Arabidopsis thaliana: one gene and its partners. The protein of the gene in region 1 interacts with the protein of each later gene in a biochemical or structural test. Each region holds a gene or a part of one and is shown in the gene's direction. Other genes may lie near its edges. The genes, in order: RING1A, AL2, AL6 and AL7.

Region 1 (6,699 bases):
AGAGATTGATGCCAAAATCCGCGATGATGCGAAAAGGCAACGACCCACCCAGGAGAAGCATGAGAGACAAGACTCTCAGACAAGACGATCACACGAAAGAAAACTGATCCCGCCGGTAAAAGCTAATAATCCATCACTTTCAACAGCTGTGGAGGTAACACAAAGGCTCGATCTGCTATGGTTCGGTGTTCCCTCTGATCCATCAGAATCCTAACTTAAAAAAAAACTTGTTGGCCAATACAGAATCCTTATCTAAGAAGCTGTGTTCCGGGTAATTCACAAAGACAAATGCAGGACATGACCTGCAACAATCCAACAAGCGGAAGAGTCTCTCACTCAGGTCCGATGATGAAAAACCGGAATCTTAGTCGGTTAACATACGTGAAGGACAATGCAGCCCCTAGAATACCTTCATATAGGGCTAACTCAGCAGGACAAGGAGGCGGTTATGTTGGGTCAGATCAACAAATGATGGATCAGCAAAGGAAGGAATTGAGAACATTCAACAGAGCTGACACTATGGATAATAGTAAAAGACAAACCAAAATCCCAAATGACCCATCTTGGGTAAGTCATCTCAAGAGACTATTTTTTTCCTCATTTCTCAGTTACATTGTCTTTATCTCTCTCTCTCTCTTTGGAGATATAGTATGATTCAGGGGATAACAAGATGTACATGTCCGGTCCATTACTGGCTCAGCCAAGAAAAGTGGATCAGATGCTGGAAGAACACGACCGGCAGCTCCAAGATTTCACCAGACAGAAAGCAAAACACTGCAGAAACTAAATCACGTATCTGAATGATTTTGCTGGGAGTCTTTTATCAGAGGACAAAAACAGAGAACCATTCAAGTCTTGTTGTATCAAGAAGAGTCTTATTTGGTTCGTAGATTTTGAAAAATTTGTTTGTAATATATAGAGATTAAAAGATTGTTGTTGGCTTATAAAAAGCTAAGCTCTGTGGTTATAGAGTGATGTGTATAACATTTATACAGACTCATCATAGAGTTTGGTTCTTTGTGTATATTACATGTATGTACACTTCTTCATATATTACAGAGATGTGTACATAACATAACATATCCATATATGTTTCATAGATTCCTATTATCAGTATGCTGTTTCTGATTACATATTTTTACAAGTTCCTAACTTTCAATCAGATTCTGATAAAAGGCTCTTGAAGATAGTAAAACAGTTTGATAAAGATTTGAAAGAAGAAACATATGGAGAATCAGATTAACAAGTCATTCTCATACACAGTAAACTGTGTCAGAAGGTGTCCTAAGATATTTACTGATTATTATCATCATATTTCTCCAAGATGTTATCTTTCACCAATTTGATTACTTGAAAAACTGAATCTGAAATTACTAAAAACAAAACTTATGAAAACTGTTTTCTTTAAAGGGATGAAGAATCAGAAAGAACGTAGCGAATTGAAGTTTTTATCGATCAATTGAATCTAAAGAATCATCACACATAATCGACAACTTTCATCACATTCTTCAGACCAATTTCAAACAAAGAAAATTCGTAAAACGGAATATTGCAAAAGAAGCGAAATTGAGAAACGAGAAGAAGAAATCGAATGAATGTACAAAGAACGGCGGAAGATGAGCTATTTATAAGAGATTGAGAAGAAACCCTAAATTTATCTGTTTGACTAAAAAAGACAAAATCTTTAAACTCTCTGTTTGGACACAAGTACAATTCCAGTTCGGACTGTTTTTATTGGTTACAAATTTCCTTTTTCTTCCTTTGCTTTTGTTGGGCCTTCTTGCTTAAACATTCTTTACTCAATTTTGGCCCAGTCTATTGTTCTAATTTAATACAATAAACCTTGTTAAATATAGTTTAACGAAAGTGATAAACAAATAGCCGTCTTAGCTCAGTGGTAGAGCGCGTGGCTTTTAACCACGTGGCCGTGGGTTCGATCCCCACAGACGGCGTAGCTCTTTGATTTTGTTATAGTTAGTCATTTTATTATTTTTAGTCAAAAATTCAATTTTACAATTTAATCATGGCTTTGGCAAGTGAGCAAGTGGGTTTAAATTTAAATATTTTTCTTTTTTTTCGACAGCAATACAATTTTATAAAAGCGGTCGATTTTATGTTTTTTAAGTTTTATAATCCGGTTTAAATAATAGAATTAGGAGATATTAAGAAGAAAAAAATATAATTAGGATATATTAATTAAAGTGAAGAAAAATGGCAAAAAAAAAAAAGAGGCCAAAATTCTCACTTTTTTCTTCGACCGATTTCTTTCTCCTATTTCGTCTATATCGGCACCGAACCAAAAACACAAACGAAGCAGAACAAGAAGAAGAAGAAGAATAGAGAGAGACGTAGAGAGAGAGAGACAAAGGCTGAGCCTTTTGGGTTTCTCTTAGAGAGAAGATCTTTAGTGTGTGTCCCTACAATGTCTGTCAAGAATAATAGCTTCTCGTCGGCTGAGATTCCCGATGTGGCAGACCAACCACGCGACCGATTTAACCCCGAAGCTACACAGGATCTACAAGAGAAGGATGAGACGAAAGAAGAGAAAGAAGGAGATGAGGAAGTGAAACACGACGAAGCGGAGGAAGACCAAGAAGTAGTGAAACCCAACGACGCCGAGGAAGATGATGATGGTGACGATGCAGAGGAGGACGAGGAAGAAGAAGTAGAAGCAGAGGAAGATGAAGAAGCAGAGGAAGAGGAAGAAGAAGAAGAGGAAGAAGAAGAAGAAGAAGAAGGTAAAGGATGTGTTTTTGTTTCTTCTACTCTCGTGTAAACGTGAGAGTGTTTTGTGTTTGTTCATGTGATCGATTTGGTTCTCTCTCTTTGTTTCTGTTTCAGATTCTAAAGAAAGAAGTCCATCTTCTATATCTGGAGACCAATCAGAGTAATGATTTTTCTCATTTCTCTGTCTTTCTCTTCTCCAGATGTGTTTAGCTTGTGATGGGTTCTCTACTCCAATATTTCTTTACTTCTGTTGTTCTAGTCAATTAAATGTTAAAATTGCTCTGCTTGATTTAGTAATCTGTTGATGCATCTTCTTAGCACTTGCATGTTGTAATTCCTCTCGTATTACTGCTCAAAACCTCTACGCTCTTGTGGCTAAACAATGTAAAGTCTTTACCTTGAATAATAGCGGCCATTACTGGAAGTTGTGTCCTAAGAATGATTCATCTTCTATTTAACTTGACCTTTAGAATGTCAGCTTTATTTTTGTCTTGAGATAGATTCTTTACTGTAGAATAAAGAAGCTGGATGGATCTTTCTTGTTTAATTGTGTCTGCATTTTTTTCATGCAGGTTTATGGAAATTGATCTAGGGGAAATCCGTAAAGACGTGCAGTGTCCAATATGCCTAGGTACTCAATTTTGTCCTGAATATTTCTCGTTGGGAACAGAACTTTTGCTAAAGCTCGAAAGCCGTTACTTTCTTCAGTCGGCATGAAATTCTTGCGTCTTTTCATATCGTATTCTTGTAGATAAGTCGGCATGATTTGGTTCACACTCTATTTTTAAGCTACATTACTACATCTGGCTGAAACGAGTTTCTTGTTGTCCTGTTTTCAGGTATTATAAAGAAAACAAGGACTGTGATGGAATGTCTCCACAGGTTCTGCCGGGAATGTATTGATAAGTCAATGAGATTGGGGTACGGTTTCAAATTGTTTGGGTCTTACTCTTATTATCTATGTTGTTTTCGTTTCTTCTTGCTTCTCAGTTCTGTGCCACTTTCAAGTTAAATATTTCATCATTCTCTTGGGAGCCATAAGTGTTGGCTTTTCTAAAGCTTTTTTTTGAGTTTATATTAACTGAAGTTTCTATTGCAGGAATAACGAATGTCCTGCTTGCAGGAAGCATTGTGCAAGCCGGCGTTCTCTAAGAGACGATCCGAAATTTGATGCTCTTATTGCTGCTTTATTTACAAATATTGATAGTTATGAGGAAGAGGTAAAGCATCAACATATTTTTCCTGCTTGTTTGTTTTGGAGAGATTGTTGCTGTTAAAACGCTTTGTTTTTTTTGGTTCAGGAACTGGCTTTTCACGAAGATGAAATGGCTCGTAATAAGCAGGTCGGATACCATGGAGAATGTTGTTATTCACTTTTTTGACTATTGCTTAAAATATACTTAATCACCTTCTTATGGCTTTTGTGTAGATTCAAGCATCTATAGCTCAGATATCGCAACGACAATCTGAGGCTCTTGTGAAAAGACGATCTCTTGGTAAAGAGGCAGCAGTCTTAATGAGATCACCGCGTATTGCTAGTGGCTCCAGAAGGAGACGGAACAGCAGAAACATGGAACAACAAAACGCATCAGAAGCTCATGAAGATGATGATAATGATGATAATAACAACAGAGGAAGAGACAAAGATTCGTCTTCAGATGAGCGTGGTACAGAAGTCCGGCAGAAGAAACGTAGAAAACGGTCTACAAGTCGTTCAACACAACACCCTTCTTCTTCAGGTGCAAACAAAAACAATGGTAACTGTGCAGATAACGACACAGAAGTGTATAGAGACACCAAAGGCATATCTCCCGGGCTTGTGTGGAATCCCGAGATACTGGCTTGGGGAAGAGGCGGGACAAGGAGTAACACAAGGCATGGGAATAATACTTCTGGAGGTAGTAGTAAGAGTGTAAGGAATGCCCGTGTGAACAAACTTGTTGAATATCTACGCAGCAGCGTAGATGGATCTAGTGTTGAGGTACCAAAGAAAAAAAACGATGATTCTCTTCTTCTTGATGACCTGTATTTTTGATTGCAGTTAGTTTGGATTTCGATTAAACTTAATCTTTCTTGCAGTTGGATATTCATGTCAAGCTTGTCTCGCTGGATACAAAATGTATACCAGACTTACCACAGCCATATCTCTGTTGCCGACCCACTTTGCTTGTAAAACAGCTCCGTGAAGTGAGCACTCTCTCTCCCTTTACAGTTATCATCAGACTTGTCACAGTAGAAAGTGGTTTTTTGTTATATATATTGATGCGAAAGTACTTCAATATGATTCAATAACAAAAATGATTTCAGTATCACATACGCTAATATATTTGTCAACTTTCAATGTTGTACAGTTCGTTGCACTTCAGATACATTTGAAGACTGAAGAGGTTGAATTGTTAGTAACAAGAAGAAGAGTAGGAGAAGATGCGGCAATAGAGAATCTTCCTGCAGTGACTCCAGCTTCAGCAGCAGCATCTAAAGATGAGATGCTGAGTTTGGAAGACAATGAAACATTGTCAAGGCTCAAAATCGATTTCATTTCAAGCCATGAACAACATTTGGTAGCGTCAATAATAATAATTTTTATCTAAATATCTTACAGTCTAATCTAAGTATGATTCAACTTTGTGAGACTTTTTCCTTATTTGGTTTGTGCCTTCAGATCATAGCTTACCGGAAGAAGCAAACTGAGTGAAGAAACTTGGAGCCTAATGGACGTGCTGCGGAAGTGCAAACAGTGTATAATATATAAACAGATGGATCAGGGCTTGTTTTGTTTATCCGTTTGCTAGATTATATATCTCAGTTGGTTTTTTTATTTAGGAAGTTTTTTGTTTGTGACAAACTTTTTTCCTTTGTGTATTCATTGTAGACGTTGCTTAGTATTTCCGGAGCAAGTTTTTATATGGAAACCTTTTTTTTACTATATATATATCAGTCAAGTCTCAGAACACAGGAAGATTATGCTACTGCCTCATTTTATAATGGAGACGTTGAGCGGTTGGTGCGGTTCAAACGTTCTTGAACAGCAATATCTGCTGCTGCTTAGTCTTTTTTACTTTTTAACAGCTACCTCATGTGAGGAGAAACCATCATCATTGTTCTCCTGTCGATTCTTCTAATCACTCTAAGCTTTGGTGAATTTGGTTTTGTCGTCTCCTTGTTCGACCTGTGTTTAATTGACATGGAGTTTTCTTTGTTTAACAAGTGTAGGTAAAAATCAAGAACAGAAAAGAAGAAATCAACTCCTGGTTTGGATCAGAACTTACTTGTGAGGTAAGAATGGGTTGTTAAGGTTTGACACTGGTCTGGTTTGAGGAACGATTGTCCTTCTCAGTTGTTTTAGAGCTCTCTCTTCCTCTACCTGACAAAGTTTTAGGTAAAATACATTTACTATCATACTCTTTTATTAGATACATCTATACTTGGCAGAAAATTTATAGTATTATACCATTTTTGCGGCTTCCGCCTCTTCGAGATGTCTCTTGTACATCATCTCTTTCTCTTTGATCTGGAACCAAAGATGATAGAACAAGTTAGTTGAGAAATCAAAAGGTTTCTTTTAATCTGCTGATCGAGTTAGATAAGCTTACTTTATGGTCAAAGTCTGCCCTTTCGATAGGCCGATGGTCCACATGCAGATTAAACTCTTGAAAAATTCTGTAAGAGGCCTTTAGTTTATCCAGAACAGAAATTTGATCTCTGAGTCAGCCAGTCAGGTGAGAATTCACAGAAATTATTTGAGTCTTTGAATATGTAAAGGAAACTGTATATGTTGACGAAGAAACAGCAGATGAACAGTCACTTACTCTTTAATCACTGGCTGTGCTCTGAAGACAATAGGAAACAAACAAAAGCTCTATAGCCTGAGACATTTCCGTCGACACTACTGAAGATGTCTCTCTCCGTACGGGCTAGCGGCTAGCCCGGGCCATCGTTTCTAGATGGAACTCCTGCAACAGTAAGAATAAA
Region 2 (5,641 bases), on another chromosome or scaffold:
CGCCATTCTTTCCGAGGTCTACGCTCGTAAGGTATCGTCAGATTCATCAATCTCTCTCTCTCTGTGGCTTCTGGATTCGATATTCATCCTTGGTTAGATTACTAGAGCGTTGATTCTACAAGTAGATCGCTTATTCTAATTACTCTGTATTATTTATTATTTTCCCTAACTATACATTTGTTCATTGAAATTCGTCTTTTGTTTTACGATTGTAAGCGTGTATTATGCGAACCATAATGTTATTTCTCCATTTGGATGTTATGTGTATAGGCCGACATCATTCTGCGAGGATATTATGGATGGAACTCTTCTCGTGCTTTGGAAGTTGTCGACCAAGTGTTCCCCAAGGTACTCTTTCAACTCCCTTTTTTTTTGCTTCTTCTCTCTTTAGACTATTAGTTTCTTCAATACTAGATTATGATAAAGATTCAGCGTTTTATAGGTCTTTATATTAGTCCGTATAGGTTGATGTGTGCTTATCATTTGACCTAGTAAGAATTCTTTGTGAACATTATTTTACTAGTTCAAAATGTACCCCAAAAGGATTACACAAGTGGCTATTTTAGTTGCATAGTCTTTGATTTAGCATACAAGACTCTGCATCTGTTTCAAGGGAGATGTCTCTGTTTAAGCATAATCTGTTTCATCCGAGTTTTCTTGATATCTCAAGCTGTTTTCTCTTACCCATTATAAAAAAAATTTGGTAGAATGAGCTTAACTTTGTAGAAAACCATCATATTCAAAGCTTCTGTTTTCTTCCACTTTGTCGCCTAAAAATTGCAACTTGTTACGGATGCAGGATGCTGCAGTACAACCTTCTCTGGTCATTGTCTATTTTGGAGGAAACGACTCAATGGCGCCTCACTCGTCTGGACTAGGACCTCATGTACCACTTACTGAATATGTTGATAACATGAAGAAGATCGCTCTTCATCTTCAGGTTTATACTTCCTTTATAATTGTTAGATTTATTATTTATCTCCTGTCAGTCACGTTTAAAAGCCATTTCAAGTGCTAATTTCTTCCTCTATTTTCTGTTTCAGAGCCTTTCAGACTTCACCCGAATCATATTTCTTAGTTCTCCTCCAGTGGATGAGGCTAAAGTTCGCCAGAACCAAAGGTAACTTCCCTGAATTTCTTCACTATCTCTCTGTTTCTCCTTATTCTCTCCGGCCTTATTAATATAGATGTGCTTCTTTTTCTCTCACAAGCCCATACTTGAGCGAGGTAATCCGCACAAACGACCTCTGCAAGACTTATTCAGATGCTTGTGTAGAGCTGTGCCAAGAACTCGGCCTAGAAGTAGTTGATCTCTTCTCTACTTTTCAGAAAGCAGATGACTGGAAAACTGTTTGCTTCACGTAAGTATTTTTTGAGTTCTGAAGAAATATAGAGAGACCTTTGATATATATGACTTTCTCAGAGTTTCCAAATGCGATAACCGGGAATGGAGTATCGACGATGTTCATTGAAATGTTTTAACGGTATAGTCTGGTTTGTTACAGAGACGGGATTCATTTGTCAGCACAAGGAAGCAAAATAGTAGCGGGAGAGATACTAAGAGTGGTTAAAGAAGCGGAATGGCATCCATCACTTCACTGGAAATCAATGCCAACAGAATTCGCAGATGACTCTCCTTATGATCTTGTATCAGCAGATGGCAAACAGACAGTAAATTCTTCAGAATGGACTTATTTCTGGGAAGAACAATGGGACTAAACATTTCAACACACACAACAACAACAACAAGACCCTATCTTCACATAATTCACTGTCTTAATGTGATAAAGCTTTGCTTTAGATTGTTTACATTACAAGTGTCTCTGCTATAATCTGATTCAGTTTCGCTCGAAAAACGTTACCATTTTAAAGTTTATACTTATCTAAATCTTAAATCACAGAAACACACCAAGTTTGTGTTCAAGTAATTTCTTTTTTTCTTGTTTACATTTTACAGACATTAACAAATGTCTGAAACTCATCACATAACACTCCTCCAGACAGGGGTTTAGTGTTTTGAAGGTAAAATCACAAAGTAACTAAATTTGGGCCGATAACAAAAAAGTCGCTTAGGAGATTGGACTTATTTGGGCCTAAAACCTAACACTTAAGGGCCCAACTAAAATGCCATTTACCTAAAAAGCGACGCATCTTCGTCTACTACCAAACCTTTTCGCTGACGCAACCAAACTCCCAAAAATAAAAATAAAGTTTTTATTTTCTCTCTCTCTCTTATTTTTCTTCTCCTTCTTGTTCCGTCTGCTTCTCTCCATCTCCTTCCATATCTATTGTTCTCTCTCTCTTCATGCCCGAACGCATCGGGTCTCAAAAACCATTGATACAGACATCGATCCTTGTCAACTAGTACTGATCTATAAATCTTATAAAAATCTGTAGAGATATGGCCGCCGCAGCCGTTTCCTCTAACCCTCGCACCGTTGAAGAGATCTTCAAAGATTATTCCGCTCGTCGTGCCGCTCTTCTTCGTGCTCTCACTAAAGGTCTAAATCCTCTCTCTCTCTCTTTCTCTAAATTTCCCAGATTTCTTCGTAATGCCTTTGGATTCGTCCTTTAACTTGTTCGTTTTTGTGATTTTTTCCAGATGTTGATGATTTTTACTCTCAATGCGATCCGGGTATGAAAGATTTCGACTTTTAGATACCCTTTTATGTGTTTTATTGAGATTTGATTTCAATTTTTGGGTGTTTGTGGTTATAGAAAAGGAGAATTTGTGTTTGTACGGACACCCTAATGAGTCATGGGAAGTGAATCTACCAGCAGAGGAAGTGCCTCCGGAGCTACCTGAGCCTGCTCTTGGTATCAATTTCGCTAGAGATGGTATGCAGAGGAAAGATTGGCTTTCTCTTGTTGCTGTTCACAGTGATTGTTGGTTGCTCTCTGTTTCTTTCTACTTTGGAGCCCGTCTTAATCGCAATGAGAGGTATTTCTCTTTTTCCCAACATTTTGATTCTGCATTCTCATTGTTTTGTGTTTTCTTAAGCCATGTCTCCAACTTTTACTTGATTTCAATGGATTCTGTGTTGTTCTTACATGAAACCCCATAGTTGTTTTCCATCCTGGCTCTTCTCATGTGAAGTAAAAATTGAAACTTTGTGATGATGATGGAGTTCGTTTGGAATGAGATTGTCTTTGAATTTGCGTGAAATGAGTTTTGTTTTGTTTTGTTTTTTTCGCTATTCGTCATTCATATCTATGGAGTATTGTTTGTTGCATGACTTCATCTGTCTAAACTTTTTCTCAGCTCTTTTGGATATTGTAATGGCTAAACTTGAAACTTGATTATCCTCCCTAATTTTAAAAGCCTGGTATTTGCTATTCTATGAAATCTGAAAACGGATATTCTGTGGTCGCATGTGCTGAATTTCACCATTTCATTGTTACATCTGAACACCCATCTTAGTAACTATGGAATCCAAAGAACTTTACTGACAAAGGTTTTGTGAAAGTTAAATTTTGACAAAAAAAATTGCTATTTGATTAGTACTAATGAGATCATTTTACTGTCTGTCTGTCATATATTCTAGAAAACAATGTTATTTTGGTTATTATCTGTTTCATTGTTCTTCAAGAGAGAAGTAGTTGTTGGCATTTAGATAGGTTTCAATTAAAGGTGCAAGAAACTGGACTTTGTTTTCTCAACCAGTAGTTTCACTATACCATTAACAAGTCTCTAAAGTGATCCTCTACCATTTTAGTCCTCTATCTTATTTACACTAGACTAGTAAAAAGCATTTCGTAAGATGCATTTCCAAGGATAGAGAATTTAACCCGACAGAGCTGCAAACAAATAATGCTAGATAAAACATCACAATTGTGTGTTGTACTGATATGAAGATTCTGGTTCGTTTTTCCTCACTTTCGCTTGCTAATCTAGTTCTTAGCTTATCTTAGCTGCCTTTTTCAATGTGTTGTCCACTCATGGAGTTATATTATTCTTTTGATTTGCAGGAAGCGGTTATTCAGTCTGATCAACGATCTCCCAACTCTCTTCGATGTAGTGACTGGTAGGAAAGCCATGAAAGACAACAAGCCAAGCTCGGACTCAGGAAGCAAATCCAGAAATGGCACTAAGGTACACAAAATAAGGAGCCTCCTTTCTTCTTTTTTGTTATCTGGTTTCCCTCTTTGAAATCAAAAATCGTAATTAGCAGAGATCAATAGACGGGCAGACAAAGAGCTCAACACCGAAACTAATGGAAGAGAGCTATGAGGAGGAGGAAGAAGAAGACGAGCATGGAGACACTCTCTGTGGAAGCTGTGGAGGTCATTACACAAATGAGGAGTTCTGGATTTGCTGTGATGTTTGTGAACGTTGGTACCATGGAAAATGCGTCAAGATAACTCCGGCTAAAGCAGAGAGCATCAAGCAGTATAAATGCCCGCCTTGCTGTGCAAAGAAAGGAAGACAGTGATGCTGATCAATTGATGATGATGATGATGATGATCTCTCAGAGAGACTCTGGTTCTCATGTTTTAATCAATATGTTAATCAACTTTTTTTCTTTTCTTCTCTTTTTTTCTTTAACCTTCTTAATTTTAAAGCATACAAAACTCTCTCTTTAGATCTCAAGAAAGGGATTTCAAGAAGTTGAGGGAGAGAGTAGCAAACTGTTTGAATAATATTATTATTATTCATATTAAAAAAAAAAAAACTGGGTTGTGTCATCAATTGTGTTGTGTCATGGGGTTTGTATATGTTAGACTTAGTCAAATCTTTAAGCTTCGAACCGAATTTTGAACAAATATGTTTTTAATCTTCTGTTAGGTCTTTTATCTGTCTTAAGATATTGTTTTTCATAATTTTAAAGAATATTATTATCCAATATTATGTGATATGTCAAAGTGATAGTCTTCTCATTTGGCCGGAATTGTAAAGAGCCAACATGTTTTCCAAGTTCTAAAGGGCAAGTAAATGTGATCGCAAGCCTTAGAATTGGTAAGTTTTATAATTAACCATCAAGATTGTCACAAATCATCTCTAAATCCAAATCTAAATTTTTCAATCAAATTTGCGACAATAATCAAATATTTTTATTTTTTAAAAAAAAAAATACTATTTATTTAGCATCATACTCAATAAGAAATTCATGAAATGTTAATAGTTGACAATCGACTGAATTTAACTAAATTTTAAACTCATCGACTGAATATTTATTCGACGATAATGATTTGTAGCCTAGTGTTTTGGTTTGTGCTAATTAATGCATGTTGATGATAATAATAATAACAATGATCAATATTCAAAATCAATACAAATCAATTTATAAATGTGATCATGCATGTATGTAATATCAAGAAGGGCGATCCCAAGTAAAGCCAGCATGAAGATCACAAATTCACAATACAAAAATCTTAGTTTTGGGTATTCAAAGTGATATCCGTCCAATCTTCTTCGTAAACGTTACTTACAAGCTCCCCCAAGTCCCCAACTATATATGATAAAGAACTTAAATCGGATCTAACAAGATTCTGTAATACATGGTCAACACGAATTATCCTTTTTATATACATTACTTAATCTAATATGTGTACCATACTACCATCTTTAGATACTAGATATTTATTGCGTTCACATGTCCGTCATTTTGTTTGTCAATACTAATTTTTCTTAAGAAAATTA
Region 3 (5,528 bases), on another chromosome or scaffold:
ACCAGATGGAAACAGAGATCACTATACTAATATTCCTTTTAAGTAATTTAATTAGATCATGATTATTATCCATGACAATAATTATTAATGCTGCTTTGCCATATTTTCATACTCCTTATATATTGTTATGGCGATAGACAATGATTGATTACTGCGAGTTTATGTAATGGAACTGATTCTCAACATATATAGTCAATTAAGTAGTTTTTTTTTTCTTGTGTTAAAGTTAATTTCTTTAAGCTAGATTCAACGTAGTTAAAAAAAAAAAATTCACTGTAATATATGAATACAAAATGACTAAGGAGTGCAATCCGTATCAAAAGTTCTCAAACAAACCAAAGAAGAAATAAACTTATTGGATTAGATTTTCATGTACGAGCCCTAACCGAAACCAGACTAAAACCAAACACTAACTAAACCATAACAATAGTAACCGTAAATCCAACCTAGTGATATTTAATTTGGTCTTCATTCCATTTCAAAATTTCAAATTGAATGTTGATATTTTTTGTTGTTTATTCATCACTTATTAGAATTCATTTTGCATTGTCATTTACATGCATTAGATCCAAGATGTTTAATTTTAGTTACCTGTTAGTGCGACTTTATAGATAAACAATCCACTAACTCTTAAGAATTCAACAACTAATTTTGAGATAGAAATATATAAAGATAAAAGATGTTAGCTAGTTTTTTGTCTTTGTAAATATAAGACTAATTAGGGTTTGACAAAAAAAAAAAGCATAGGACGTGCAATATTTGGTAAGAGCAGTTGTTCCCGTGATTTTGTCAGATATGACCAGCATGAACAGTTGTATGTTGTAAGAAATCAGTTCCCTTTTTCTCAATGAGAAAAACAAATTTAAACTTGACTTAACTCTCATACTAGTCTTTTTAATCCTAATTATTAACAATCTTTAATAATATATGTAATGTGGCAAAATCCTAATATATACTGACTTGAATATGATACGAAAGTACTAATTTTAAAGTTTTTTCCCTTTCTAACCGGTCGATGTAACCGTATTTGCATGTTTTCTTAGATTATTTTAAATAATATATGTCTATCACCTATATTAGTAAGTATATATTCATAGATTATAGTTGATTTTGCCCAAAGAAAAAAGAAGATTATAGTTGATTATACCACATCATTGATATTCTGTGACGAATTAGATTACAGTTGCGGTAAACGTATTCGCTAGCTAGTACGACGTGCTTAACGCAAAAATATTCAAAGATAACGAATCCGATTAATATTGGTTCGTTTCTTAATTCTTACATCTAGAATCACACATAAAAACAATAAAATAATTAAAAATTTGATGAATTTTTTATTTTTTTGAGTGATAAAAGGCAAAATGTTTTCCGTTTTTTAGTAGCTTTCTCTTTCAAAATATCTATTTCTGGTGTATATCGTGAAAAAAACTTTCAAAATACGTGAATGTGATGATCGTTGAAAACTTCAAATCTCATTTCCCCTAGGTTACTATAAAAGCCCACTATCCTTTAATGGGCCAGGCATGCTATTTCTGTACAATACAAGATGGACCTGAATGTTTTAACTTTTAACTTTTATCTTTAAGGTCAAGTTAATTGAAAACAAAAACCAAATTTGTGGATCAATTTGGATGCCTCAGCCTACGTATAAAAACATGTTTTTTTTTCGTAATATTAATGGAAATGAATATGTTAAAAAAAAAAAATACATGTTTTTTTCGTCGACACTTTTAAAAATAAAATAAAATTTAAATAAATGTCTTTGACCAAAATAAAAATAATGTAAAATTTGGGAGTGGGGAATGTAGCTCGGAAAAAAATAGGGTATGTAGATCGGAATTAATAAATAGATTTTATATTATTACATAAACAATAATAAAATACACAATGTTGTCTTTATTTAATTAATACAAAAATAATAAAATAGACAATGTTGTCTTTATTAATATTACTTCTCAGCCCCAAAATTAATCTTTGATCGGTCCCTTTTGTTTTATCGTTTTAGGGTTTGTAGCTCCTTTCTCTTTTTTTCTTTTCTCAATTTCCCCCAAATTAAAAAAAAACTCTCTCTTTCAGAGATTTACAAATTTCATTTCTCCAAATCCGAAACCCCAAAGTGAATATTTTTCCTTCTGGGTTTCTTTTGTTTGCCTGGAAACATTTGTCTCAGATTTTGATTTTGACCGGAGTACTCATATTCTCCGGCGATTTCTCCGGCGACATCGTTTGTGAAATGGAGGGAATTACTCATCCAATACCTCGTACTGTTGAAGAGGTCTTTAGCGACTTCAGAGGTCGACGAGCTGGTCTTATTAAAGCTCTCACTAATGGTCAGTTTTGGTCTGATTCTTGTTTCTCACTTGCGAATCAGAATGATAAGTATCTACAGAGTTACGATTTTGTGGCATTTGGGTTTTTCATTTGTTAAAAAAGAAGAACTTTTTTTATTTTGGGTTTCTTTTGTGAGATTTGACGATTCTGGGTTTTGTGTTTTGTTTATGCAGATATGGTGAAGTTTTACCAAACGTGTGATCCTGGTGAGTTATTTCTTCACAACTTTTAAAAAATTAGTCTTGCTTAGCTTCTATAGTTTCTAGTGAAATGTTTTGTTGAAGTTGTTGAGCTTGTATGTTGTTGAATTGTGTTGGTTAAAGATTGAGTTAGTTAGTCCTCCTCTGTGTGGTTTTTCTTTAAGGTGTTTCATTCTTGTTTATGTAGAGAAGGAGAATTTGTGTCTCTATGGACTTCCAAATGAGACATGGGAGGTTAATCTACCCGTTGAGGAAGTTCCTCCTGAGCTTCCTGAACCAGCTTTAGGCATCAATTTCGCTAGAGACGGAATGCAAGAAAAGGACTGGGTATCTTTGGTCGCAGTTCACAGTGATTCATGGCTGCTTTCTGTTGCATTTTACTTTGGTGCACGTTTCGGATTTGGCAAGAATGAGAGGTAAGGGTCCTTCTCAAGCTCAGTGTTTTTGAGTGTTGCATCTCAATTATGACAATATTGGGTGTACTCATGTGTGGTAAGGTTATAATGATCATTCTAGCATCCTCTTGTTTTGTCTATTTGTCTGATACAACAATCTCTGTGTGGATTTTTGTAACTCACGTGATCTTATTTATAGGGTCGGTTTCTGTGTAACTCTTTTTGTAAGTGGTTCCCAGTTTCTATTTTGAAGTGACTAGAGTTATGAATCGCACCAATCTGGATCAATGTTATTGAGATAGATATATTAGTCAATAGATGTGATATGTGCCTCTAAGTCTGATTAGTACTTCTTGTATTAGTCTTGTGCAGGATCACTGTAATTAGCCTAGGTAGTTTCCACTGCATTGTACCTTTGTTGAGAGCTCAGCAACAATCACTGAATCCATTATTTGATACTGGTAGCTGACAGGTTAAACGAAAAGCTTGAGCAGAATGAGTTGTTGATTCTGAATCTCATCAAATTCTTCTCTGGCATTAGGTTTGTTTGAACAACTTAGCTATCACTTGCCTTTAAGCTTATGCCATGGACCGATTCTTTTTCAGGAAGAGGCTGTTCCAGATGATTAATGAGCTGCCAACCATTTTCGAAGTTGTGAGCGGCAATGCAAAGCAGTCCAAGGATCTATCTGTTAACAACAATAATAGCAAAAGCAAACCTAGTGGCGTCAAGGTATCTCTTCTGTTTCACCATTTTGTTTTATCAATCTCTGCTAAGTTTTATCTCTTTGTATTCCTCACAAACAGTCTCGCCAATCCGAATCTCTCTCAAAGGTTGCAAAGATGTCATCTCCACCGCCAAAAGAAGAAGAAGAAGAAGAAGATGAGAGTGAAGATGAGAGTGAAGACGATGAACAAGGTGCGGTTTGTGGTGCTTGTGGAGACAACTACGGTACAGATGAGTTCTGGATTTGCTGCGACGCGTGTGAGAAATGGTTCCATGGAAAATGTGTGAAGATAACACCTGCAAAAGCAGAACACATCAAGCATTACAAATGCCCAACTTGCAGTAACAAGAGAGCTAGACCTTGAAGTTAAATAACCAAATTATGAAAAGGTAAAGCGAGTTAGGAGAAAATTATGAAAGAAGAAGGTGAAGTTTCCAGTTTATAAGAAATGCCAGTAAAAGGGACTTAGAAGATGTAAGCAGGTAAAAAAAAAAATTGTATTGCTTAGTCTTTATTGTTGGATTGAGACTATCTACAGTTGGTGATGTCTTTTCTTTTCTTTTTTTGGATTTTTGTTGTTGTTAATGTTAATTCTACTACTAATTTGTTTGGTCTGTTTAAGATATTTTAGTTCTGATTAGTAATTTTTTTTTTTTTTTTCTGATTAGTAATTTGCTAAAATTGTAAAAACTATTATGTCGTTATGTAGTCTTTTTATTCATCTTTTATCTTACTCTCTCTTTTATTTAGCTATTTATTTTGTTTCATATGATTGGTAGTTAAGTTGATTATATCACCATATATTATGAAATTGGTATTGGTCAAAAGGTATCAGTCAGGATTAATACTTCTAATTTTTTTTAAAACTGTTTCATTATTGTCAAAAAGAAAAACTGTTTCATTTGAAAAAATGGTTCAAGTATTAATTATCTAATACTTCTATTGTTTTTTCATAGTGCAAATATACATTGCCATCAATCTTGTTGTCTTTTGAACTTTTGCTATATATATAAAAAAAAAGATTGAAGTTGATAAATTATGACAGCCCAAATTATTACTTGACTAGATCTATTTGAGCCCAATGTTAGACAAGGATGTGTGTTTGGGCATGTAGCTTATATATCATGCCACTCATTTATTAGTTTACTTTTTTTTTTTTGGGTAATATGACTATCTATCCTCAGAATAATGATAATTAACTGACAAAAAAAACACCGTTGTCTTCTACTATTTTAATTTTATGACAATTATACCCCTAAATTAATTAAACTAAAAATAAAAGGTTCGATGAAACATTAGTACGTTAAATGAAACATTTAGTACGTTCAAATAAATATTATCCATATATCGATTATCTTACCGTGTTAAGACAAATATTATTTCGATATTTAGTATGTTACCATGTTATTATTCATATATCGATTATCTTACCATGTTGAGACAACTATTATTTCGATATTTAGTATGTTAGCATGTTATTATTCTATGTAAAATGTTATTATAATCGTTATCATTTTAATTATATAACATGATGTATTTTTATTGTGTTGATATATATAAAAATAATAATATTGATTCATAATTTTAAATCGATAAACATTTATTTAACATAGAATATGTAAATTTACCACGTTATTATATATGTTAGCTTGCTAAACAAATAGTTATATACTTATTTTTAAATATTAAAGTTATTTTGAATCGATGATATTTTTGTAATTAATCTAAACAAGAAGGATATTTCTAGTTTATATTTTATTTCTCTTGTCTATTTACCTAAATAACAGATTTTTATGTATAAATTCTTAATATTTTGTTTATTTTGTTCATCCATGTATATATTTTTAACTCACCCTTTTTTCCCTCCATTTATT
Region 4 (6,073 bases), on another chromosome or scaffold:
GATAGACTCATGATTAAAGTTTGGATTGACATCAACTGAAAAAGATCTGAAGAGTATTCGTACAAAAAAATAAAAAGATAGCAAAAATTGTCATGGGCGTGCTCTTAATATTGGTACTTACTTGACTTTTGTTGGCGAGGTAAGGGAACCCCATGTTCCTTTTGGTTCTTCTTTATTCAGGAAATAATGTGGAATCTTTAAGAATATTGGTGTTTTCGGGGATGTGCAAGCTAAGTTACATCTGATTTCGTCCCTCTTTATAGGATTGGCTTTCCTTCGGGTGGAAGGCAAAGATTGTTGAAATGCTTGGAGAGGCTACTGGCATACTTGCCTCGGTGATGCAAGATACACTGAAACTTTTTAGTTTATGGTCCTTATATTTTTATTATGTTTTAAATATGACCCATAACTTTTGTAATTACAACTATTGCCCCATTATCCTCGAGCTTAATTAACTAAGACTAGTAAAATCATTTGTGAGCCCTTTCGTAATCAAATTTCAGACCAGGTTTACCCGAACTCCATTATATTATGCGAACCGTATTTCAGTGACAAAATGTTGAAAAGTTTTTCTCATCGAATTTCGGGGTTGAGGGCCTTGTGTTGAAATGATTTGGTTGAAGATTTCGGATGATGATCTCCATAATCAATTGTGGGCTTCAGGTGGATGGACGGAGAAGACCACTGCGTTATGGGCTTCGTTGATTTCAAATTGGGCGTTTTCGTGAGATTAGGCCCATTGTTGAATAGTCAGCTTGATTTTGTTGCCTTAGTATTTTACAAAAATTGTTGACTGGTCAGCTGATACTACATTATTCATCGAATGTTTATGAATCTATTACGAATGAACCTTGAGAGAAAGATAGTTTGTTATGAATTCATTCCACATTGGTATTACAATAGATTGATTCGAACTTATACTTATTATATCTAATAAGTACATATTAGAAGTTAACTAATAGTTAGCTAACTTGGAAGGCGAGTCATGTGACAGTAGCATATTTTTAATATTGATTAATAACATGTTTACAAAGTTAATAGTCTACTTTTATTAATGTGGCAAGTACGTGAATGTGTTCCTAATCCTAATTATTCGTAAATATATTTAAATTTTATTAGTTAAACTACCTTTTAATTAATCAAACAATACGAAACTCCATCAAACAACTTTATACAAAAGAACGACACTTACATCCCAAATTAGACAACCATGTTAAAAAATGCTGTATGCAAATAGCTCATTAGACCATGATGAAGAGCAAACCAAACAAATACATATTGTTTTAAAATCATTTCCATGTGTCATCTGATGATTCAACATGTCAATAAGGTCGAAACGTGAAATGGAGCAAACTGATTCTTAGACAACATCCGGAAACTTAATTATTGGTATGAAGATCAAAATGTTTCTTTGGTTTCGACGTTATACCATTAATCTTTCTGCTAAGTATCTGACAACTTGTGATACACGTCAAGTATCTCCCAACTGTGACTAACTTCTTCTTCTTTTTTTCTTCTTCATAAAAACAACTGATTGTTCTTTTGAGGATAAAAGCATCAACGCCTCATTTTACTTACTTACCCGCAAATTCTAATCTGCAAAAAGATAGGAAATACATAGTCATCCATCCTAATGTAGTTCTAACTTCTATGTATTAAAGCTTTGTAGAGTTTGATTTGAATATAATTCACATGAAAATTAACAAAAACATGTAAAACAGTAGTATAAACAAAACCAAAATAATAACAAAAAACATTAACGATTAAACAAATCAGATAAAGACCCTCGCTCTCTCTACGGTATTAAGCTTGAAGCATTCTTTTTAACTATTAGTAGTATAATTTAACTCATTATTAACTAGAGATTAATGACAGAATATTGTAAAACCATCAATTTTGTTTAAAATCATTATTTTTTTTTAATCTTTAGCCTTTCCATTATATTGATCGACAGATATGGATATTATAGTACAGTTCTTAAACGTTAATCACAGTAAAACTGGCAGAAATTTACTGTATTATTACTTCAGTTCGTTGTAGAACATGCCTCAGGAAAAAAAAGCGCACATAAATATTGACCCAAAACAAAAGAAAAGTAAAACGACTTTATATTTCTGGAGTGAATTAAATAAATAGATAAATACAGGTTGTGACTTTAAAAAAAAAAAAAAAAAGTTGAGATGTTGTCGCTTTAATCTATTCTTCCAATGCTTCCAAATCCCTCAAATTGTCTTTTGTCTCCTTTCCTTTTCGTTTTTAGGGTTTTTTTTTCTTAGCACAGCTCTCTCTTCTCAATTTCCCCAAATGAAATAAATTCCTCCGAAAGTTTATAGATTTCACTCTCCCCCGAACTATACAAAATTCCCTCAAAAGGAAAAACTAAAAAGCCGATCTTGGCTTTTTTGTTTCTGAGTGCATCTCGATACTTGGAAGCATTCTTTGGTGAGGCTGATTCATTCTCATCTGTGAAAGTCTTTGGCTTTTGAAGCAATACTATGGAAGGAATTCAGCATCCTATACCTCGCACTGTCGAAGAGGTTTTTAGCGACTTTCGTGGTCGTAGAGCTGGTCTCATCAAGGCTCTCTCTACTGGTCAGCTCGATCTCTCTTTCTCTATTTACTCTGTTTCTTTTGATCGAATCTTAGATGATTTCTGTAGATTTGCGAGTTTTTTTTATATGTTTAGTGCTCGTTTCTTCAATTGGGTTTTCTTAATTTCCTGAGAAAAAAACCCCCAAAAGATTTTGGCTTTCTTCTTCCTGTTTTGGGTTTATTCATGTTCTTTTGTTGTGTGTTTTGTTTTGCAGATGTACAGAAGTTTTACCATCAGTGTGACCCTGGTGAGTTATTTCGTTACCCATTTAAAGTCTTGTATATAGCTTCCTAACGCATTGGTTCTTATCTTGTTTATAGGAAGATGTGTTTTTTTTTTTTTTGCTAAAGTTAAGATTTTTCAGTGCAAGAGTTCCTTTCGGGTCTGAATTAGGGAAGAGATTGTAATTGGACATGCGTTTTTTTTGCTTCATGAGTTTGTTCACGGATTCTTTTTGTTCCCAGCTTTTGTTTTTCTAAATTCTGTTAGATTGTTTTAGTTAGCTTCTTCCTGATTACATCTAATCTGCAGTAGACTTGTTGTTATGATCCTTTTTCTAGTTGACTCCTCTGTTAGGTGTTATATCTTTGATTATCTTCCTGTCAGAGTTGTTGTCTGTTTGAACAGTTTTTTTGGTTCATGATGTTTGAACAGATTATAGACTTTTTAAGTGTTTGTGAGATTTGTACCTAAGATGAAGTTAGTTCTCTTTGTGGTTTCTCTTCTTGACTTCTTAGTGAATTACGTTTTTTGCTAATGCAGAGAAGGAAAACTTGTGTCTTTATGGACTTCCAAATGAGACATGGGAGGTTAATCTTCCCGTTGAGGAGGTCCCTCCTGAGCTTCCTGAACCAGCGTTAGGCATCAATTTCGCAAGGGACGGAATGCAAGAAAAAGACTGGATTTCTTTGGTTGCAGTTCACAGTGATTCATGGCTTATCTCTGTTGCATTTTACTTTGGTGCACGTTTCGGATTTGGCAAGAATGAGAGGTAAGTTTCTTTCTCTGCTCAGTGTTCTGTGTTTGTTAATTTTGCTTGTTTGGTAAAGCTTCAATGACTAGTATAGTAGCTGCATAATTCTAGCATCCAAACACCGTGTAGTTGTTGTTGTAGATACTAGTGACGATCTCTGGCACACTAAACTCATGTTATCCTGTTTCTGTGAAACAACCCTGAAGAAGTGATCATCATTTTTTCTCCTTCAGTAGAGAGAAGTGAACCTACAAATGTATTGAATTCCATCTAAGCTGAACCAAAATTTATTGAGATTTAAGAATTTAGGTCAAAGATCATGTTTGTTGAATAGCCAAGTAACATTGTTTGTTTTCTCTGATATTATAGACTCAAATGGTTTAGTTATCTTGCCTCTGATCTTATTAATTCCTTTCAGGAAGAGGCTCTTCCAGATGATAAATGATCTCCCAACCATTTTCGAGGTTGTAACTGGCAATGCAAAGCAATCCAAGGATCAATCTGCTAACCACAACAGTAGCAGAAGCAAATCTAGTGGTGGCAAGGTAGAAGCTTCTGTTTTCTCTTTTTTTTCGCCCTCTCAGTCCATGTATCTGTGTTGGGTTCTTATCTCTACTTACTCCTTTGTTTTCTAATGCAGCCTCGTCATTCTGAATCTCACACTAAGGCTTCAAAGATGTCCCCTCCACCAAGAAAAGAAGATGAGAGCGGAGATGAGGATGAAGATGACGAGCAAGGTGCTGTTTGTGGTGCGTGTGGCGACAACTATGGAGGAGATGAGTTCTGGATATGTTGTGATGCTTGCGAGAAATGGTTCCATGGGAAATGCGTGAAGATCACACCAGCAAAGGCTGAGCATATCAAACATTACAAATGCCCAAGTTGCACTACCAGCAAGAAAATGAAAGCCTGAAAGTGATAATAACATTAGAGCCTGTGAAAGAGGAAAACGTTTTCACAGTTTAAGAAGACAGTACAAGAGTTTAGCTGTGGGAAGAAGAAGAAACAAAAGGCTTCTGATTGCGTAGTTTTAATGGGATTGAGACAGCTTACAGTTAGTAATGTCTCTTTCTCTTTTCTTTTCTTTTTTTTTGCTGTTAATGTTAAAATGTTATGACTAATTTGTCTTAAGTTTCTGAGAAAATTCTGTCTTTTAAGCACTCTCTAGTCTATGTCAAGTGGTTTCTTCTTCTCGGTATCTCACTTGCTTTAAAAGTTTTAAACTTTGGCTCCCGATGAAACTCATTAAGCTGATTACCTCATAGAACATGACATTCAATAACAATTTGTCGAGGTTATATCTTTAGATTCTCAAAGTCCCTCTCTGTTTCACAAATGTAACAAACATTCGATTTACTGCAGCCTTCAGATGGCTCAGCCTCAGGGCTATGAAAATTTCCATAAAGAGATACATAGGAAAGAGCAGGTACAAGGTAAAGGCCGCACAAAGAAACAATAGAGGGTTGGGTGAGATTATAGCCATAGCAAGCGCATAAGAAACTCCCAGAGACGCTCCAATCCAAAAGAACCATGTTGTAAACAAGCTACCGATTGGTAGGAGACAAAACGTGTAGAGTAGAGCGCAACAGAAGCCTATAGTGTTAGAAACCCAAAGGACGATGAAGAATGTCTGTTTCATTACTGCGGTACCACCACCCTCGGACTGGTGTACACCTCCTGGAGGCTGGAGTGCAGTTTGATAAGTGGATGTGAGTATCAAAGTACATATAATCAAGAAGACTGCACGGCCTTCTTCTGAAGTGTCGGACCTTAGGCGTCTGATGCCAATGGAGCAATGAGCCAAGAAAGTGACTGGTGACTTAAACTGATCAGACGGTTTCTCGAGTTGCGGAAGAGAAGCCGCCTCCTTGCACCCGGTTTTTACAACAACTTGTTCCAAATCCTTATCCAAGTCTCTACTCTGTCCATTGTTTCTTAAGATATCAAGGAATGTTAAACCATCCGCATTTACTTCGTTCAGTTTCACCAGCTGACACTGTAGCAGCAGTTTTACCGCCTGCATACATATCTTTTATACTCAGGCCAATTTTGACACAACATGACAGAAAACATACAAAACTAAAAAAAGTTTAGTAGCTTTAAGAACTATACCTGATGATCTTCCTTATATGCTGCAAGATGCAAAGGCGTGTTGTGTGCTAAATCTTTTCTATTCAAGAAATCAGATTCGGTGGAAGCAGAATCTTTTTGGCTCATTCTTTGGAGCCAACCGGTGAGGACTTGAAGAATTTCAAATCTATCATTCATCACAGCAAGGTGAAGAGCGTTATGGCCATTCACACTCACATCTTGAATACATACAGGGCAATACTTGAGACACTCTGCTACAAGATTTACGTCTCCTCTAATCGCTAAGAGATGGAAAGGTGTGATTCCTTCTCTCCCTTTAACGCGAACAAGTCCGGGATCACGCCAAAGCAGCCATGTTATAAACTCTCTATGATCTTTTTCCACAGCAAGATGCAATGGACTGTAGCCACTTGTGT

The links.
Region 2: the proteins of RING1A (region 1) and AL2 form a complex in vitro, tested with the Arabidopsis thaliana proteins (one study listed by BioGRID).
Region 3: the proteins of RING1A (region 1) and AL6 form a complex in vitro, tested with the Arabidopsis thaliana proteins (one study listed by BioGRID).
Region 4: the proteins of RING1A (region 1) and AL7 form a complex in vitro, tested with the Arabidopsis thaliana proteins (one study listed by BioGRID).

Annotation. Positions count from the first base shown.
Region 1 is NC_003076.8:17,834,838-17,841,536, reverse strand, and holds RING1A (RING 1A), read left to right. Parts: upstream 1-2,282; 5' UTR 2,283-2,422; coding exon 2,423-2,738; intron 2,739-2,810; exon of another isoform or gene 2,811-2,841; coding exon 2,842-2,887; intron 2,888-3,299; coding exon 3,300-3,358; intron 3,359-3,435; coding exon 3,436-3,466; intron 3,467-3,566; coding exon 3,567-3,609; coding exon of another isoform or gene 3,610-3,648; intron 3,649-3,717; coding exon 3,718-3,734; intron 3,735-3,826; coding exon 3,827-3,947; intron 3,948-4,028; coding exon 4,029-4,070; intron 4,071-4,156; coding exon 4,157-4,708; intron 4,709-4,806; coding exon 4,807-4,914; intron 4,915-5,078; coding exon 5,079-5,288; intron 5,289-5,389; coding exon 5,390-5,422; 3' UTR 5,423-5,688; downstream 5,689-6,699. Other genes in the region: AT5G44290 (Protein kinase superfamily protein), read left to right, coding at 1-154, 244-567, 650-787; AT5G44270 (TPX2 (targeting protein for Xklp2) protein family), read right to left, coding at 5,797-5,896, 5,997-6,091, 6,179-6,238, 6,321-6,427. UniProt on the Arabidopsis thaliana protein: Putative E3 ubiquitin-protein ligase that mediates monoubiquitination of 'Lys-119' of histone H2A (H2AK119ub), thereby playing a central role in histone code and gene regulation. As part of the PRC1-like complex, repress class I KNOX gene expression.
Region 2 is NC_003074.8:3,507,179-3,512,819, reverse strand, and holds AL2 (alfin-like 2), read left to right. Parts: upstream 1-2,161; 5' UTR 2,162-2,401; coding exon 2,402-2,501; exon of another isoform or gene 2,502-2,602; coding exon 2,603-2,635; coding exon of another isoform or gene 2,636-2,718; coding exon 2,719-2,941; intron 2,942-3,969; coding exon 3,970-4,093; intron 4,094-4,172; coding exon 4,173-4,433; 3' UTR 4,434-4,824; downstream 4,825-5,641. Other genes in the region: AT3G11210 (SGNH hydrolase-type esterase superfamily protein), read left to right, coding at 1-31, 271-348, 800-940, 1,044-1,120, 1,212-1,361, 1,506-1,719.
Region 3 is NC_003071.7:650,604-656,131, forward strand, and holds AL6 (alfin-like 6), read left to right. Parts: upstream 1-1,972; 5' UTR 1,973-2,233; coding exon 2,234-2,330; intron 2,331-2,504; coding exon 2,505-2,537; intron 2,538-2,718; coding exon 2,719-2,947; intron 2,948-3,532; coding exon 3,533-3,659; coding exon of another isoform or gene 3,660-3,733; coding exon 3,734-4,018; 3' UTR 4,019-4,382; downstream 4,383-5,528. Other genes in the region: LOV1 (NAC domain containing protein 35), read left to right, coding at 1-46. UniProt on the Arabidopsis thaliana protein: Histone-binding component that specifically recognizes H3 tails trimethylated on 'Lys-4' (H3K4me3), which mark transcription start sites of virtually all active genes.
Region 4 is NC_003070.9:4,960,577-4,966,649, reverse strand, and holds AL7 (alfin-like 7), read left to right. Parts: upstream 1-2,134; 5' UTR 2,135-2,495; coding exon 2,496-2,592; intron 2,593-2,807; coding exon 2,808-2,840; intron 2,841-3,355; coding exon 3,356-3,584; intron 3,585-3,984; coding exon 3,985-4,111; intron 4,112-4,206; coding exon 4,207-4,479; 3' UTR 4,480-4,869; downstream 4,870-6,073. Other genes in the region: AT1G14500 (Ankyrin repeat family protein), read right to left, coding at 4,870-5,583, 5,679-6,073. UniProt on the Arabidopsis thaliana protein: Histone-binding component that specifically recognizes H3 tails trimethylated on 'Lys-4' (H3K4me3), which mark transcription start sites of virtually all active genes.